Neodiprion lecontei: one gene and its partner. Each later gene encodes a partner of the first gene's protein in a complex. Links are inferred from orthologs where the notes say so. Each region holds a gene or a part of one and is shown on either strand. Other genes may lie near its edges.

Region 1 (9,398 bases):
ATTTTGTATGGAATTGAGTTATTATTCAAGATAAAGTGTATAAAAGCAAGTCAATTATCTCATCAAAGTTCAAATTCTCCACACATGTGAAAAGAATGTGGATTATCAATTGAATTTATCACTGTCCATCAAACTTTCTGACAGTGGGAATTAGTCTATTGAAATAACAAGTGCTTTCTTATCAAGTTTTACAGATTGAGAAACAAGTGATAACGACAGTTTTACACTTTCAATATTTCTGTCGATTGAAATTAAATTCAAGTAGTAATTGTCAAATAATTTAATTACGTATTATTTGGAGATTGCACTTGAGGCAGTTTGATGCTGAGTTTTGACCCATATGTCACTGATTCCCCTTTGACAAACTCTAATGGCGAACCATCGGCAACATTAAGCACAGTCGAAATGGTCAACCCTCGGTTATCCAAAATCTACAACATTTTTTATAGATTATGAAAATACCAATTTTAAGAATTTCTCAATAATTGAAACTCTGTACTTGGACGTGTTCACGCTAGTAAAAGCATTTCGGATTATTGATTGTACTATCTCATTCACTAATGCAACTTTACATGTGGATGAATAAAGACATTATCGAAGGCACTCACACTAAAAGAAATTTAAGTCGCCTTATGGAACAATACTAACCACTTCGTTGGTATCCCCAGATTTTTTAACATCCAAAATAACGCTTCCAACCAATACTTTTTTGTCAAAATCCACACGCAGGTGCAGATCAATATGCGTCACCACGGCTAAGTCTGGAAATATTTGAATAATTGAAACAATAACAAGATACGGAGAATAACGTCAAATAGTTATTCAAGCCGTATTTAGATATGTGAAAGAGTTTGCAGCTCAGAAAACCTATTTCGACTCATATTTATGGGTGTATCAAATGACAAGCCACTAATTATTTCGAAATGTACACAAAAAATATTTTGTTGTAGGTTAAGACTTTCAGCTAACGATAAACATTCATAAACGATTCAAGCTCAATCGAAATAGCATTGATTAAAACATTAAATTATAGCGGAATTGTATGTATTAATTCATTAAATGCAAATATATTACAATACCGGGCCGTGAATAGGAATTCGGATCTCCTGGACTCAACGACATGTTTGCTGCTGCCGACCACTGAGCCGGAATGAATAACGTTAGGAAAGAAATGTACTTCAGAGAGCGTATCAGAAATGGACGCACCGCTAATCCCATGATTTAAGATTATTCAAAATTCCAATTACGCTTCAACCACTTTCTACCGATTACCATCCAGTTTTTTCTTCGCTTCTTACCCCGAATGATGCTGATAACGAGGGTCAATTACTTTTGAGAATGACCCTTATATATCTTATTATTCTCTGATCGCAGAATTAAAAAAAAATTCGGTATCGATTCTTTTGCTTGCAGTAAGTCCTAAAATAATATGTTGACAAAAATATTTAAAGAAGAATCTCTGTTCCTTTGTTAATTCTGCGGATTTCAGAGCATTTTTTTACAATAATTGAATTAAACATTTTTTTTTTAATCTTTCGCTGTGAGTTATAAATTATTACTTGGATGAATTGGAAAAGAAACAAATGTTTTTGTACAGAGTTTTTTTTTGGGGTAATAATTTGAAGGCTGTGGCGAGCAGTGTTATTATGTCAATAAAACAAAAATTAATTAGATATAAAAAAATGCTTTTATCAAGTTTTTTTTCTCCAGATTGACAATTTAGAATTCATAGCAAGAAATCATGAATCATTGAAGTGTATTTAAGTTGAAAACAACTTTCTTTCATCAGATATGAAAAGATCGTAAGTTATCAGCCTTTCATGTTTTGCTTGACAGGTAAGTTGAGTTTATCGCTTATCGTAATGCAGTTGCAAATTGGAATTAAACGTGTTGTTGACGAAAATTTATTAGTAGAAACACAGTTGGAAAGCACGGAGGCTGAAAAGAAATAGATATTTGAATTAAGTGTAATTCTTGGTAATAAAAGCGTACAGAATTAGACACAATCAGAGTCATACTAATATAACTATTCAATCCATGGATGTAACTATCGTCATGATTATAATCATTCACGAACATTCTTCGCCCCAATTCAAAGGATAATGGCCGATATATTTCTATTTTAAAGGCCAATGACCATAGACATTTGTGCATTGGAGATACCATGACTGTATAAGATTTTCGTAGGAACAGTTCGTTGTAAACAGTAACTGCTGAGGTCCTAGAGCAAAGGCTGAGATTTATGCAGTCATTAAATCACTGTCATCAAAGAAGATGCAAAAATCAAATGAATTAACTAAACAGTTAATGTTGCTGACGCACTAAACCATGAGTACTTCCATTTTCTCAGATAGGACAAAAAATTCAAGGCTTCTTAACCCTCAGGAAACGTCCAATCCATTTTGGTTCCTCAAAATAATGACGACTTCTTTTTTTGTTTACAGTCGCACATTCGACTTGTGGAACATGTTTATTTCTGACACCACATCAAATTCACAGTGCTGAAAAATTGATTGTCTGAGATTGAACGTAAGAGAACTGGATGATAAATGTTGTAGGGTTTATCAAGTTTAATCGAAGTGAATTTTTCTGGTAATAAACAGCAAATGACGTTTCAACATTCGCATTTCAGTGATCCTTTATTACTTAATATATTCTTTTTAAAATCAACTTTGATTTATCAACCAATACGCACAATGTAAGTAGTTGTTATTAGTTATACAAAATTTATTAACATTGATTATTGCATTGCATGAAGAACTGCGGGTAGGAGAACAGACGTAAGTAATAGTTTTAATAGTATTTGAAATTGAATTAAAGTAGCGTGGTAACAATCAACTCATGGCTCTAAATTGTCATTTCTTTAATTTAGAGCAATTCTTAATATTCAAAGTTATCTAACTATATAGATATTTAAATTTGATATTGTAAAATCTGCACTAAACTGGCTTAATAGAAATAGCCACTGAACCAAAAAAAAATAATGACAACAAACTCTGGTTTCGATGTGATTTAATAATAATATTCAACATGTATAATAACGGGCATGGATCTACATGCCTTACAATCGTCATGTATTAGTACATTCATGTTGGAGCTGCATGTTTTTAGTTTTTTTGGCTGTCACTTTCTTACATTTTGTATAATAAATCTATTTTTTGTCTGTTTCCATGTATGCAGATTGTTGTTTTGTAACAGTAACTGACTTTCACTTACATCTCGGCGCTACATAAAATCATTAAATTCGTCATCAAAACCATAATCGCCATACTCATTTAGATGTGAATTATCACCCTCGACTCGTAGTTTTGCTTTGCCTTTACCCTTGTTCTTCTTACCCTTATCCCCTTTTTCAATCTTTTGTTTTTCGATAGCTAAATTTTCAATTGTCGTTTTCACTTTTTTCAAACTTGTCGAAGACACTGCAACAATTTTAATTTCAATTAAAAAAGAGTGCATATGATTGAGAAAGATAATATTCCATAAAGAGTAAGATACTAACAATTCACGGCAATGTTTTTAATGAACTCTTCGGCGAACGTGGTAAACTCAGCATGCTTGTTGAATTGGTTTATTTTCTTTAAAAGTGCTTCACTGAACTGGTCGAAATCTTCTTTTGTGTCAGGTGTCATAGAGTCAAGTCCTGTAGCAGCTTCAGGGTTCACACCTTAACATAAAAACGTGAGTTTCATAATAAATTAGATAACACTGGTAACTTGACAACAGCACATACAAATTTTTGACCTGTATCTTCAATTTTCGTGATAGCATTTTCTTTCCATCTTATACTTCTACCCAATCCAGTTAATAAGTAATTAGAAAATAATTTTAAGTTTCACAAGTGTATAAATACTTGATGGAACCTAAAACGGTTGTTATTAATTTAAAATAGGAGTTTCTTGTTATTGTTTAATACTTGCGCATTTTCGTTTTTAAAGATTTTAAGATAAACAAAAATTTGTGTAGCTAGAAGCCATACAATCTTCACCACACACCTTTAAAATGAGATACAAATAAGGAATACATTATCGAACAGCTCATCAGGAACAATACAGGAGATTAAAAACAGTATGCAAGGATGTATAAAGACTGACGTGGACACAACAGTTTGTTTGTGCAAAATATCAATTTTATTAAAATACATAACATTATTAAATTTCATTGTATTAAAATTGGTAATAAATCGTATGGATTTCGTTCATCTCTGGTACAGTTCCTGACAATTATAGGTTCATTAATGTAGCATTTCGAAACTTAATGTTGTTAGATAAAAAAAAAAATTAACGTTACTTTCACTTAATATTTCATTAATCTTAGGTGGAAATGTTTACGTGGTTATTTTCATCCTTAATACTGCGCTTTTCTACGTATGTTCAAGCAATGAAAAATAATGCAAAACGTATTCAGAATCACTAATTAAATTAGACTTCATCATTTTAACTTGAAATTTCAAGAAAAAACTACTTCGAAACAAAGAATCTGATTTATGATTAAGTTTATAGACTAATTTGATACAATTTCGTCAAGTTCATTGGCTCAGAATTCTATACCCCTCGAAAATCTATCACAATGTCTTAAGCTTGCCTAATCTCGCGGTAACCACACATGAGTCAAAGTATATCGAAAGAATTAAGCATCAGTCAAATTTGAATAATTGAGAATTTGAATCAGCTTCATCAATTATCTCAGGATTGAATTAAGTTTTATGTTATTTACGAAATATCGCCTCAAGGTTAATTCTAGTATTAAATTAATTATGGTATATTTCACTGTTATACGTTCACCAGAATTCATACGTGTCGGGGTTGTTGTAAGAATGTTTCGGTAAAAAAAAAAATATCTGTAGCAACACCAGAAAACTAAAATTATGTGCAACAGATAAATTTAATATCAATAAAAATAAAATTCCACAAATCTGACAATAATCTGAGATACAGCAGATTCGAATACAGGTAAAAATTAAAAGTGATAGATAGTACAAGTGGATTAATAATAATTATTATGATTGTGAGAATATTTGATAGCAGGGGAGAATTGTTATTTTTTTTCACTTTTTTGTGGTTTACGGGGGCTAAAGTCAACAAGGTTTGACAAACCAAATGTTTCCATGGCTAGTCGAAGATCCGCTTCTTCCTGAAGCCTCTGACGTCTCAACATTTCCGCTCTCCTTTCCTCAGGTGTTAAGGCCTCTTCCTTTTCCTTCGCCTTTCTTTCTGCTTCTTCTCGCGTCTTTTTCTAGATGTGAAGAAAATGATTTGTTTAAAATACTTTGTATCGTTTGATTGATACTCCCAATAGAGAATTTAAATACAGGATTCATCTACTATATCAGAAATATTTCTCAACAATCCTGTAAGATTTCAGTCAATTAAACCGATTAGCAAAGTTACTGTAGTGAATCTTTTATTAAGCGACTATGAATGAAAATAAAATAAGTACAATCATTTTTTAGTAATGGAGACGCTGACCTCACGCTCCTCGATTTTATCGGCCAATGTTTTTTTAGGTTTTGCTTTAGCCTTTGGCACCTCAGCAGCCTTTTCTACATCTTTTTTTTCCTCTTCCACATCTTCCCAACTATCCTAATAACGTCAATAAATATTAAGCAATTAAGTATGCGTCAATGAGATTATTGACATGAAGTGGTAATGGAAATGGGAAAGAAAAAAATATCATGTCAAAGACTTTGGAATAATATACACATCTTTTGAGAAAATGATGTTTAAAGAATAAAAGTGAATACATATTGATTTATTTGACACGGGCAAGATAGGTCGTCAATTTTCATAGAGAAAAGACACTCAAAAATTCCATGCGGTAATTAGGACAAGGTTATGAAAACTTGGTGGTGAAACATATGGAGGCAGAATGAAATTAATGAGAGTATTCGAATGTTTGTTAACTGAATATCACATTGTACTTCGATACCTTAACGTCTTCCTCTTCATCTTCGCCTTCCCATTTATTGGACCTCATTGCGAGGTCGAATTTGGCCTCAACATTATCCGCGTCTGCAATATGATACGATACGAAACGAGTTGTCAAAAATTAAGCCGAATCACGAGAAATTCATTTCCTTTGATCAAATGTATCGGCACAGAATATTTAATCATTTAAAATACATACCCCACTCGTCATCCATGATCTTGATTTTTATGAAATATCACTCAAATAGTCGGAAAAACCGTGCACGCAACAAAAATCAACGAGCCACGGCGGTGCACGGCGGGCCTTGTCCTTAATCTCATGGGGCGAATGATTCAACTGTTTACCGTTGCAGCTCTGGCTGTCCATTCGTCCTCTAAAAACTTGAACAAAGAGAAAGAGTATAGTACGGAGTGGAAGTTGACCGGATACAGTGAAAGAAGCGCCTCTACTGTCTCAAAACCCTAACTATTCTATCTCTTCTCTCTCTCTCTCTCTCTCTCTCTCTCTCTCTCTCTCGCCAATTCTTCTATGACCTTCGAGAATAGCGTGGCTGAGAAAAATTTTGAAAAATATACTTAGGCCGGTATTCATAGTCAGTGCTTAAGACCGGACTCGAATAAGACGGTCTTATACGAGGCCTTAAGATGGCGTTTGGTTCCATAGACGTCAAACAAGACGGTCTTGAGACGCGGCAAATAAGACGGTCTTCATCAAGTCGGTCTTATTCGAAGCGTGCTTACAAGGTTGCATAGTCCAGTCTTATTTGAAATAAGCATGGTCTTGAGCACGCAACGTTTCATAGTCAATTAACGCAGTCTTATTTACGTATCTTGATCAAGTCGAGTTCGGACTGCACTTAAGCAAATGCTTGTTGCCTAAATATTACTCAATTGTTCTGATGCGTACGAAATTGATAATTACGAATTGTTTGGAAAATATTATATTCGAACAATATAAATTAACAGGAATAGATTGTGAAGGAATGTTTGGGAAAGTGCAGCTGGGACGGGATTATTTACTGTAAAAGGGTAGCAACGGAAACTTGCAATTGAAGTAGAGGTTATGAGAGCATTCGCTTTGAAAAATTTGTGAAGTGAAGTGAATAGTGAAATTCTACTGACATGGCGAATATGCAAGATATGTTTAATTTCTACGATCAGATCGAAGAAATGAATAATATGATTGTTCAATGGTCAACGTTGGGCCGAATGACGAAGACGAGGGTGAAGTACAGCGAGCTCCGAAGAGATACATCAGAGATGGTCAAAACCCGTTCGAGTTTTATTCCGAGCAGGAGTTCAAACGGCGATTCCGATTTTCAAAGGATGGTATTATGTACGGAATACTACCTAGAATTGAAGCTGCCTTAGTCAGTGCCAATAATCGTGGTCTACCAATTCCACCTGTCATGCAATTATTAATATGTCTACGATTTTACGCTACCGCTAGCTTTCAAGTAAGGATCATTGTGATTATAATTCCTGACATTCTACTGAAAATATAAAGTGATTTCATTGCTTCCTGTGATCATGGAATAAATGATTGCTAATACATTTTGTACTGTACAGCTCGTCAACGGAGATCTGATGACTATATCGCAGTCTACAGTATCGAGGATAATACACAGAGTATCGGCTCAAATTGCATCATTGATTCACGCAATTATCAAATTTCCTAGTACGGAAGCTGCTATGATCGCAAACAGAGATCTATTCAGACAACTTGGTGCACGCAGGGAGGGTATCGGTTTACCTGGCGTTGATGGCGCTATCGACTGCACTCACATTCGATTATGTCATACGAAATTTGCAGACCTGCAGGAGGTTTATAGGAATCGTAAGGGATATTTTTCCCTCAATGTACAGGTATGTCGCGTTGGTGATAACCGTTTACAAATACCATAAGTTGCAATTAATTTTATCTAGGATACAAATAAACAATACTATTCTATGAAAATCGGTACTTTTAATTTAAATGATACCACAGGCAGTTATCGGACCCAATATGGAATTCTTGGATGTGGTTCCGGAATGGCCTGGAAGTAACCATGACAGTCAAATATTCCAAAATTCACGAATTTACATGCGGTATCATGAGAGACAACTTACTGGAACCCTGGTTGGAGATGCCGGCTATCCGTGCTTGCCATTTCTGCTGACTCCACTGGCAAATCCAATTACAGATGCTCAACAAAGGTAAGATAAAGATTATCGCATTACTTTAGATTTCGATAAGTAGTCATAAAATTGACAAAGTATACATGTGTGAATTAACCAAGTCGGTATCTTGATAGGTATAACAACGTACAAAGCAGAACAAGGCAAATTGTTGAAAGAACATTTGGAGTTTGGAAGCGACGTTTTCCTTGCCTATCCCGAGGTTTGGGAACCAAATTGTTGTGCTCTACCACAATTGTTGTAGCTTGTGCCGTACTACACAATTTATCACTAACATTGGATAATGCTCTTCCGGAAGATAATCGCATCGAGGAAGAAGAAGCGGATGAATTGCCACCTCAAGCACCGCATTGGCAGCCTGGAGAGGGTTTTGCAATACGCGAAGCTCTAATCGAACGGTTATTCATTTAATCAAAATATATGTATATCAAGTTAATTTAATTGTAAAGACTAATTGATTTTAGAATGAATATACTCCAAATATTTAATAAAATTGAATTTAATCTGTACAAACAGTTAACATTAGAATACATATTTTACTCATAACTTATCATTGGTTCTCATTTTATTTTTAAACCCCTCACTTACTCATGAAAATACTGATATGTACGTAATTGTACTAAGCGTCAGTCTTATAGTTACGATAATACTTATGAAAATTTGTCTACGTAAAAATATTCAATACATTATAAATACAGCCAGTAAATAGAACTAAAGTTGCTCTTTTGAACTTTGAAGATCAAAGGTTGTCCCTTTCACGCGCATTTTTTTGCAAGTCTGCACCGGGATTCCTTTTAACATATCAATACAATTTATTTATCAATAACCGGTATAGAGATTTACATAATGATATAGGTTAAAATATGTGTATATAAAAATTATATACACATAAACATACACTATAAAATTCTTTTTCTTCTTCTTCGTTTTATAGCTATACACCCACTACAAAAAATTGCACGCGATTTGTTCCCGTTTTTTAGTTCCTCTACGTGGCGCTAACGTTGTTGTGTTCATAAACTATAAAAATACTCAAGAGCTGCATGCCTATACGAATATCTTGCACAGGCTGAGAAATAAAATCCGAGCATCTTATTGGGGGATACATCGGAAATATTCCGAACATAACCGAACGTCGAATAAGACCGTCTCAAGCTCAGTCTTCGTCAAGACGGTCTTGAATGAAATAAGCTAGCGCTTGAGACCAAATTCTTGACGAAGACCGTCTTGTTTTCCGACTATGAATACATAGCATCTCAAGACGGTCTTGAACGAATAAGACGATCTTCACCA
Region 2 (8,357 bases), on another chromosome or scaffold:
TTGGAGACGAAGGATGGTCGTATAGCTCGTCAAGCGGAATTGCAAGCTAAAAATGACGCATATGAGCAAGAAGAGGGATTGCTATATGGTGCTGGAATAGCTGATTAACCGGTGAGCATTTTTTATAATTAATTACTGCCTTGAATTTCTCGTTTTCGCTACATTTTATTTCAAACGCGTTTTTCTCGAAACGACTTTTTTTCGACTAGCGTACATTCTAGCTCAAAAAGTTATTGATCAATCGTTCTGAAATTTGGTGTAGATATTCTTTATTCAATTCCACGTAACATGAACCAAATTCGGGGATTATATTGTTATTAAAAATATATGTTTTTATGCAAGAAAGATGAAAAAATATAGTATAAAAACATGACATTGTGTTCAAACACCTCAAAAACATGCAATTTTCATTTCGTTTGATCAAAATTAGGTTCATATTCTTAGAAAATATGTTTTTAATGAAAAAAAAAAATCCCGATGATTACAGATAAAAATTGCGACCTCAGGGATGTACGCCAGCCAAATGCTCGGATGGCAATCGCCCATGGACTGCACGCGGTAACTCCACTATTTCCGGCGGAAATCGTTTGAAAAAATTTTAAAATGTACTTCAAAACATAAATAAAATATCCTCCAAGTTTAAACAATTTGTGATTATTCCTTCCTGGTTAAAAAAAATCATGAAAAACAGAAAAATTTCGACCTCATAAACCGGTTTCCCCCCTTCAGCAACCCAGTAACACCGCGCAGTGTATCTTTACAAGACTATATGGTCGGTACTTATGACCACCCAAAACTACTGACTCTGCGTTCTGGTATGTACATTTTCACTACATAATTTAAGGTCCACCTCTCGATTAGTTGAAAAGTGTTCGTTAAGACGTCATACTCAGATATATGAGCTCTACGGGCTGTACGGACGTTATAGGTATGTCGTTTACGTTTACGACCGGACACTTAAGGAGTTACATTCTAAATTAAATCGCAAAAATGTACTGAGATGTACAATGAGTAGTTTGGGTTGCCAATATCGATTAATTGTAAGTATTAAAGTACACTGGAAAGACGTGAAACAGTCATGTTATAAAATTACAGTTGGGATATTAAGTGGAATCTACAAGGAGGAACTCGATGGATAATAAGATTAATAATAATGATTTGATGTACAACTTACCTTGTCTCTACTCGATTCAGGACCAGCAGTTAGCGGCCGATGATTCTCGTGGAGCGGCAAGGAATCGACGATAAGTTTTAGGGTTTGAGGAACTAATTGATAATTAGACTTTGAGTTTATAGGTGGATTTAAAAAGAATTAAAACTTGAATCTGATACTTTTAGATCATTCAAGATCGATGATAACACTATAAGTTGGATTACAAATTGGAATATGATATTATTTAAAATACTTGGATGAAATTGTACTTCGTCACCTCATAAAGTCTGTTCGCGTACCCCGGCTAGCTTTTAGCTTGCTCCCAGAGCTACTTTGCTGGAGTTTATAATATTTGATATTGAATATATTTTCGCGTGTGGCTCCATGTATATTTTAGAATAATTTTTACCATCGAAATATTCCTGTAATTCAATAATTTTATATTTGAATAATTGTATACTTAAATAATTGTTTGGAAGACTGCACAGGTGTGCAAGGGTGCATTGAGTATTGTTATTTTATACCGGGACAATCTCTTAAAATTTGAAAATAAACTGCGCATGCGCCAAATAATTCGATCTCATTGGTCGGCGAAATCTTCCCAGAGCGATATTCTTGTCTGCGATGCAGGAGGCCAACGTACATAATGTGTGCGTTTGAATTTTCAAAGAGCATAAGCATTAAATTCTGACTGCTCTTTGAAGAATCAACTTTCCTACCCAATAACAAATGCTTCCCAAGCCTTTCCGAGCCACTGCCTCAATTATTTAAGATTTTAACCTCGGAAATTTGTATTAACTACATCGCCGCCAGAAACAGTTTAACAGCTGAAACTCGGGATGGCCAGCCTGCATGAACGGCCGATAACACTCGCGCATGCGCAGTTTATTTTCAAGTTTCACGAGATTTTCCCGATATACGATACCTAATGGCTTTGCTTCACCTCAAGTAAAATAATATTGACTAATACGACTTTTCATCTATGATCAAATATGATCGAAGAAGGCCCTTAAGGCTTCGCAACGTTGCAAGCTGTTGTGCACCATTTCTGAGAATTCAGCCTTCGCGACGTACCGACGCACTGACGGTGGCACAGCATGGTAAGGCTGATGATTATATGAAGGTAAATATAATTATTAAATATAAGTATTGTAACATAGAGAAATAATAGGCATGGTTATGTATGCTATATATCGGTAATGAGATATGAGTATAATAGCCTTGAGTACAAGTGTCGATTATGTCTATGGTATCCTTACCGACAAAACCACTTAGTGCGCGTGGCGTTGGTCTATGCTTTTCCTGAGAACCACCTCTGAGGTTTTTCGATTGATTACAATTAATGCTGAATAGTGCCTTTGAGTAGGTCAAGTTATGATTATGGTAATTTTAAGATTCTGTAGGAGGATGTCACGATTTTCAGTTAAGTCTGGTTTGCAATTTAAATACATAGTTAGGTATGAGTAACTAAACGTCATCTAGTAACTTTTGGTTTGATCGCAACATCCTTATGCCAAAGCAAGGCGTGGTTTGTAAAAACTGTGAATATAAAGAAAAATATTTGTAGCGAGGCGGTCGCATGTCACAGGCGGTTGGTGATGGTTATTTAGGGTGCATTCCGATATTAGCTCCCCGTGCTGTCAACAATTTCTTATCGTTTTTGCGCTGCCGAGTTTGTGAATAGTTCTGCCTGTGTCCTAGGGAGTTTTTAGCGCGGCTACCTAATTTTGGAACGCTTCCTAAGGGGAGTTTTGGGTGGAACGCTCGCTTACGGGAGTTTTGGGCGGAACCCTTAGAGCATATATTACTGATGGTAGCCTTGCGATGTACAGCCTGTCTCTCGCACTCTACAACCTGGTTATCTGATACGTTTCCTTTCAGCCAATAAAATCCAGAGTGAGAGAGTCAGAGTATCCACGGTAACCTGGGGATATATATTTCGCCCTCTCATCACTACGGCCAGAGTTTTCGCGAAGTTGATGGCATGTGTAGCTGCCTCTAGTTGGATATGCTGTAAGGGCTAAGCTAGAGAGTACCTAGGAGGAAGTAACACGACCATCTAGCAATACTGACTGCTTTTCGGCCAGCTGCTTTCGTAGGAGTTACGTGAGGTTAACTTAGCACGCGTCGTGTGGGATTTCAGCACGATGTATGACGATTACAATGATCAGGTGAGTAAATCGAGCAATATGCAACAATTAGCACTGTCTAACTCCATTGTATTTTCATAATCCAGTATGATAGCTACGCCGACTACGGGCCAGTCGCGGATACCCACACCGATGAGTATGACAGGGACGCATACCGCCAGGTGCCCGAACTGGTTAGAAAGTTCTTGATATATTTTCGGAACTGTATAAACGAAGGAGTAATATTCGAGGTTCAAACCCTCTACGAGAATTCTTTTCCGAAACTGTCCGAGCAGTTCTTCGACAAACAGTCGTGGCCAGACGAGACCGACGTCGCCCACATCGTCGACAACGACCCAGTGTTCTTGGTCCTCTATAAGGAGCTCTACTACCGGCACATTTACGCCAGGATTCCAGGTGGTCCGACCCTAGAGCAGCGATTTGGTTCTTTCTTCAATTACTGTGATCTCTTCAACTATATTCTCAGCGCAGAGACTCCTGTTCCATTGGAACTCCCTGATCAATGGCTGTGGGAGCTGATCGACGAATTTGTTTACCAGTTTCAGTGCTTTGCTCAGTACCGTGCAAGGCTGTTGAAAAAGACACCGGAAGAGATAGAAAACTTGAATGCACATAATAACATATGGAGCGTACTTTGTATTCTCAATGTTCTACACTCGCTAGTTGATAAATCGAAGATCAAGAGTCAGCTTGAGGTTTATGCCAGTGGTGGGGATCCCGATTCTGTCGCTGGAAGTTTCGGTAGACATTCCCTGTATAAAATGCTTGGATATTTCTCACTGGTAGGTCTTCTCCGGCTCCACTCTTTGCTCGGAGATTACTATCAGGCTATAAAAGTCCTTGAGAATGTGGAACTTTACAAGAAAAGTGCGTATTCGCACGTCCCAGCCTGTCAGATTTCTACAGCCTACTATGTCGGCTTTGCTTACATGATGATGCGCCGGTATGCAGATGCCATAAGGACCTTCTCGAGCATCCTACTTTATATTCAGCGCACTAAGCAACTCTTTACGTCAAGAAGCTACCAAAATGATCAAATAAACAAACAGACCGAGCAAATGTACCACCTCCTTGCAATCTGTCTTGTTCTTCACCCTCAATGCATCGACGAGGTTCTGCAGCAGGCTCTGCGTGAAAAGAATTACCATGAAAAGATGTACAAGATGCAGTATGGTGATCTTGCTGAATTTGAAGCCTGCTTTCTCTACGCTTGCCCCAAGTTTTTGTCTCCTTGTCCGCCGCCACCTGATGCCCCCAATGAGGATTACGTCAAAGAAGCTATCAAGCATCAAACCCAAGTATTTATGGACGAAGTTGCCCAGCAGAAAATGTTACCCACAATTAGGTCCTACTTGAAGCTGTACACTACACTTCCCCTCAGTAAACTGGCCACATTCATGTGCAGCAGTACTCGGCCTGATGGATCTTGGGACTTGGATAAAGAGGTAGCCACATTGGGTATTTATTTGCTCTGCTTCAAGCATAAAATGAAAAACATTGTTTGGACCAAAGGCTCTTCGGGATTGGATGGAAAGTTTCAGTCTGGTTCTGAGGTAAGGATTTGTCATTTTTTAATGAAATCTACTTTGCATAAAACGGGTTGTCCGGTCCCACAAAGATCTTTAACTATTAATTAGCATGTGTTAATGACTTTCAGGGAGTTGAATTTTTCCTATGGTGTCAACTTTATTGAGTTGTTTATTTGCAGTGAAACTTCATCACTGTCGGAGTTAGATCGAAACGTTCTTCGGTGCATTCTTTTATTGTCACTCTTGAAAACAGTTAGTTTCCAATTCTTTCTTCAGTAATTAATTTTTTTTAAATATCTTACACATTAGTTCAGATTTTGCTGCCCAATTTTTAACAAAGTTCAAAGTATACTGGTTCCATGTATCAGTTTTAAAAGTTCAGTCTTGATTCTATGAAAAGAATTACTTAAAGTGGATGTGCACTTATACACTTCTCTGTCCTTTAAATTCAACACCAGCATTTATTGAAATTTTTTGGGTATCTAGAACATATTCCAAAGGTCCCTAAACAAAATCTGTTGAGTAAATACTTGATTCTCCAAACTCGAGTATGAAAAACTTGATCCATCGTTTTTCGCGTGTGACATTCAAAATATTTTGATTTAACATAAATAGTGATGGAGTTCCAGTGCAAACAGCTTCATGAATTCTCTGCTTTTATTTTTGCAATAGTCTGTAATTATATTGCATGTATAATCTATATGGAAAACGAATTAAGAATTTCAATGTCCCGATTGATCTATATCCTGCAGAATAACTCACAATTGTGAATGGTTTTGATGAAATTTTGATGAACTATTTTTGGTTTTTTTACTACAAAGCTGGACTTCTACATCGATCACGACATGATCCACATCGCTGACACCAAGGTGGCTCATCGTTACGGTGATTTCTTTATCCGTAAGATATTAAAGTTTGAAGAACTCAATCGCAAACTGCACAAAATAAAGATCTAATCTGTTGGAATGTAGATTTGCAATTATGATTAATTTGTGTACACCTAAATTTTGGAGAATAAATTAATGAAATTTTAAAATAAATAATTTTTATATTTTTTTGATACAAAAGTCGAAAACCTATCGATACCAATATTTTTCAATGCATTATTGTTACATCATAGATTAGGCACAACGTATCCTATTCACAGTATATACATTATTGCATCACCAAATGCATATTATCACTAATAGGTCACCTTTACAACGGTAAAATAAATTTGATTCTTTTCTCAAAGATGTTACTATGATTTACGAATTATCTACAGAAAATTTCAGATTAAAATTACATTTTCGAAGATGTTGTTTACTACAAAACTCATGCCATCAACAACTTCAAATCCGGCACAGAACAGTTGTAATGATAGAATTGATTTATTTTGAAAGAAAGAAAATTTCAGATCAATTCACGAGTTGATTACAACTCTTTGATTCGTTACCAACAATTAACTCATTTTCGAAACACTGTTCACTAATAAATAAATAAAAAATGTTTTCACAACCAAAGTTCTTGAAATCGCATAACATGGAAATTGACGTGTAATGGATAACCAAACAACAGTGCAGTAAAAAATCATGAAAATATTAAAGTAAATTAGTTGTATGGATAAAACTCAATGAGTATACTTCGTTATTGCGTTATATTTTGTAGTCACGTCTGAGAGTAGTCTCTGTAGTTTTTGTTAAATTACCTGAGTCTAAAAATATTCGTGATGAAAAATCCACATCTGCAATAAATTCTGTGTAAACTCTACCAATTTTTGGAAAATAAATCCAATAATTTAGTTGACAATGAAGTTCAGGAACAACTTACTACTTCAATTAACATATGAAAAAAATAGTAATAATGGTACGAAAAATATTAATGGCAATACATAGATTAACCATGAGAAGCATTCGTTCGTTATTTGAAAACAAGAACATTGGGAAGAGTAAAATTTTTTGTTTTACTTTTGCGAAGATGCTGAAGATCAAAAGATGAGAACTTGAAAAATTTGAATCAGGGATTGTTAGGCAAAATAAAAATAGATAGAAAAAAGATATGCTGGAATCTGAGATAGCCGGACATTTGAGATAAGCTTTGACGATGGTGGAAAGTTGTTTCCGCAGCATAAAATAAACTGGCCATTCAATTGTGATTCGAATTCAACCCGCATTTTACCTCAAATCATTGTCAGGTTCAATGAGATCGGATCATACAATTTAAAATTGGACCTCTGGAATCGAGATAATAAGTTATTAAGGCACTATGAGTGACCTAACCTAACTGATTCCCGGATTAGGGCTGATTAAATTAAACTCAAATTTAGTCATGTATGTTTATCTTGAAAAACAGTGCTAGCTGCAGCGAGTATGTTATTTGATGCAGATGTCAGGTTTAGGCTGTGTAAATAATTGTGAAATCGGTTTCCCCGTTTGGTATTAGCTTTTGCTCGGTTTTGTTCAGTTCTGCAGATAGTTCTTACAACGGGTAAATAATCTGTTGCTGTAGATCTATGTTCTAGAGTTGAAGGAATGGCTTGTGACAACGCGAAATCGACCCCCAATTTCACTTTTCTTTTTACAGCCAATTGATCAATGCAGTCAAAATTTGTCAGGCTGAAGGACTGTTCAGATTTGAATGAAAATCGGTGTAGCCATTCAGCGATGTCATTACCAAGATCAGTAAAATTTGAGTATGGATTAAAGTCTTCAGTAAGAGACAGGCTGGCATTCAATTTTTGGCTCCAAGGAGGTGCCGCAGGATTCTCCGTTTCTGTTAATGACGATATTAAAGAAATAGTATCTAACTTTTCTGCCAGTGTATTGACTAGTTTAGCGTTTTTCTCGGCGATTGCCTTATCATTTAATTTTTCTTTTTTATATTTCTTGCTAAGCTTAATCGCCGGTTTATAGAGCAGAGGCTGCATGTCTGGCCATAAAGTTGCCATGGTGTTTGAATGCAATTGAGAAGTACTTGGTGGTCCAGATAGCAGAATATACTGAAGTTGTAGCAATGATTGTCTTAAATCTCCATTTCGTAGAAGGATCTGCAAACAATATCAAATATAATCGCTGTGAGTAAAGGGAGGAAAACTAGGCAGACAATTTAAAAAATGAGCTTCAATTCGATTATTCAATTTCGAATTCAGAATTTTACAAGATTGCATAACTTGTGGCTTTGATTTTACACAATGTAATAGCTCTCAAAAAAAAAAGTTCAAGACCAAGAAAGTTAAAAAAAAGGGCGCCACAGCTTGCTTATTACAATTTGATTGGTTTCACTATACACCTGAAATTCCCTGACGTTTAACAATTTTCCAATACAGGGGCCATCTGCTACTTACATTCAAGCAAGGTTGAGGGAGTCGATACCCAGATTCAGCTAATGATATTAATTCTAATAATGCCGAGACTCTGTCTCCTTTAGCTGCTTGAAAATGAATGAATTGTTGATGGGGAGCCATTTTGTTGAGATGTGGACATGTCTCTTTACAGGTCATGACAATTGGTCTTTTAGTGTTGGCGGCCAGCTGAAAAGTTGCCGAGA

The links.
Region 2: eukaryotic translation initiation factor 3 subunit J (region 1) and eukaryotic translation initiation factor 3 subunit L share a complex: the UniProt entries of both Drosophila melanogaster proteins name them as parts of the eukaryotic translation initiation factor 3 (eIF-3) complex. The link is inferred for Neodiprion lecontei from reciprocal best matches to the Drosophila melanogaster genes eIF3j and eIF3l.

The regions. Positions count from the first base shown.
Region 1 is NC_060260.1:36,066,598-36,075,995, forward strand, and holds eukaryotic translation initiation factor 3 subunit J, read right to left. Parts: upstream 6,282-9,398; 5' UTR 6,143-6,281; coding exon 6,127-6,142; intron 6,012-6,126; coding exon 5,929-6,011; intron 5,583-5,928; coding exon 5,469-5,582; intron 5,236-5,468; coding exon 5,097-5,235; intron 3,668-5,096; coding exon 3,503-3,667; intron 3,423-3,502; coding exon 3,226-3,422; 3' UTR 2,621-3,225; downstream 1-2,620. Other genes in the region: leukotriene A-4 hydrolase, read right to left, coding at 289-431, 649-761, 1,080-1,218; putative nuclease HARBI1, read left to right, coding at 7,118-7,384, 7,497-7,793, 7,915-8,123, 8,222-8,516. UniProt on the Drosophila melanogaster protein: Component of the eukaryotic translation initiation factor 3 (eIF-3) complex, which is involved in protein synthesis of a specialized repertoire of mRNAs and, together with other initiation factors, stimulates binding of mRNA and methionyl-tRNAi to the 40S ribosome.
Region 2 is NC_060261.1:18,340,153-18,348,509, reverse strand, and holds eukaryotic translation initiation factor 3 subunit L, read left to right. Parts: upstream 1-3,130; 5' UTR 3,131-3,300; coding exon 3,301-3,324; intron 3,325-3,389; coding exon 3,390-4,856; intron 4,857-5,653; coding exon 5,654-5,788; 3' UTR 5,789-5,875; downstream 5,876-8,357. Other genes in the region: ATPase family AAA domain-containing protein 5, read right to left, coding at 7,138-7,857, 8,155-8,357. UniProt on the Drosophila melanogaster protein: Component of the eukaryotic translation initiation factor 3 (eIF-3) complex, which is involved in protein synthesis of a specialized repertoire of mRNAs and, together with other initiation factors, stimulates binding of mRNA and methionyl-tRNAi to the 40S ribosome.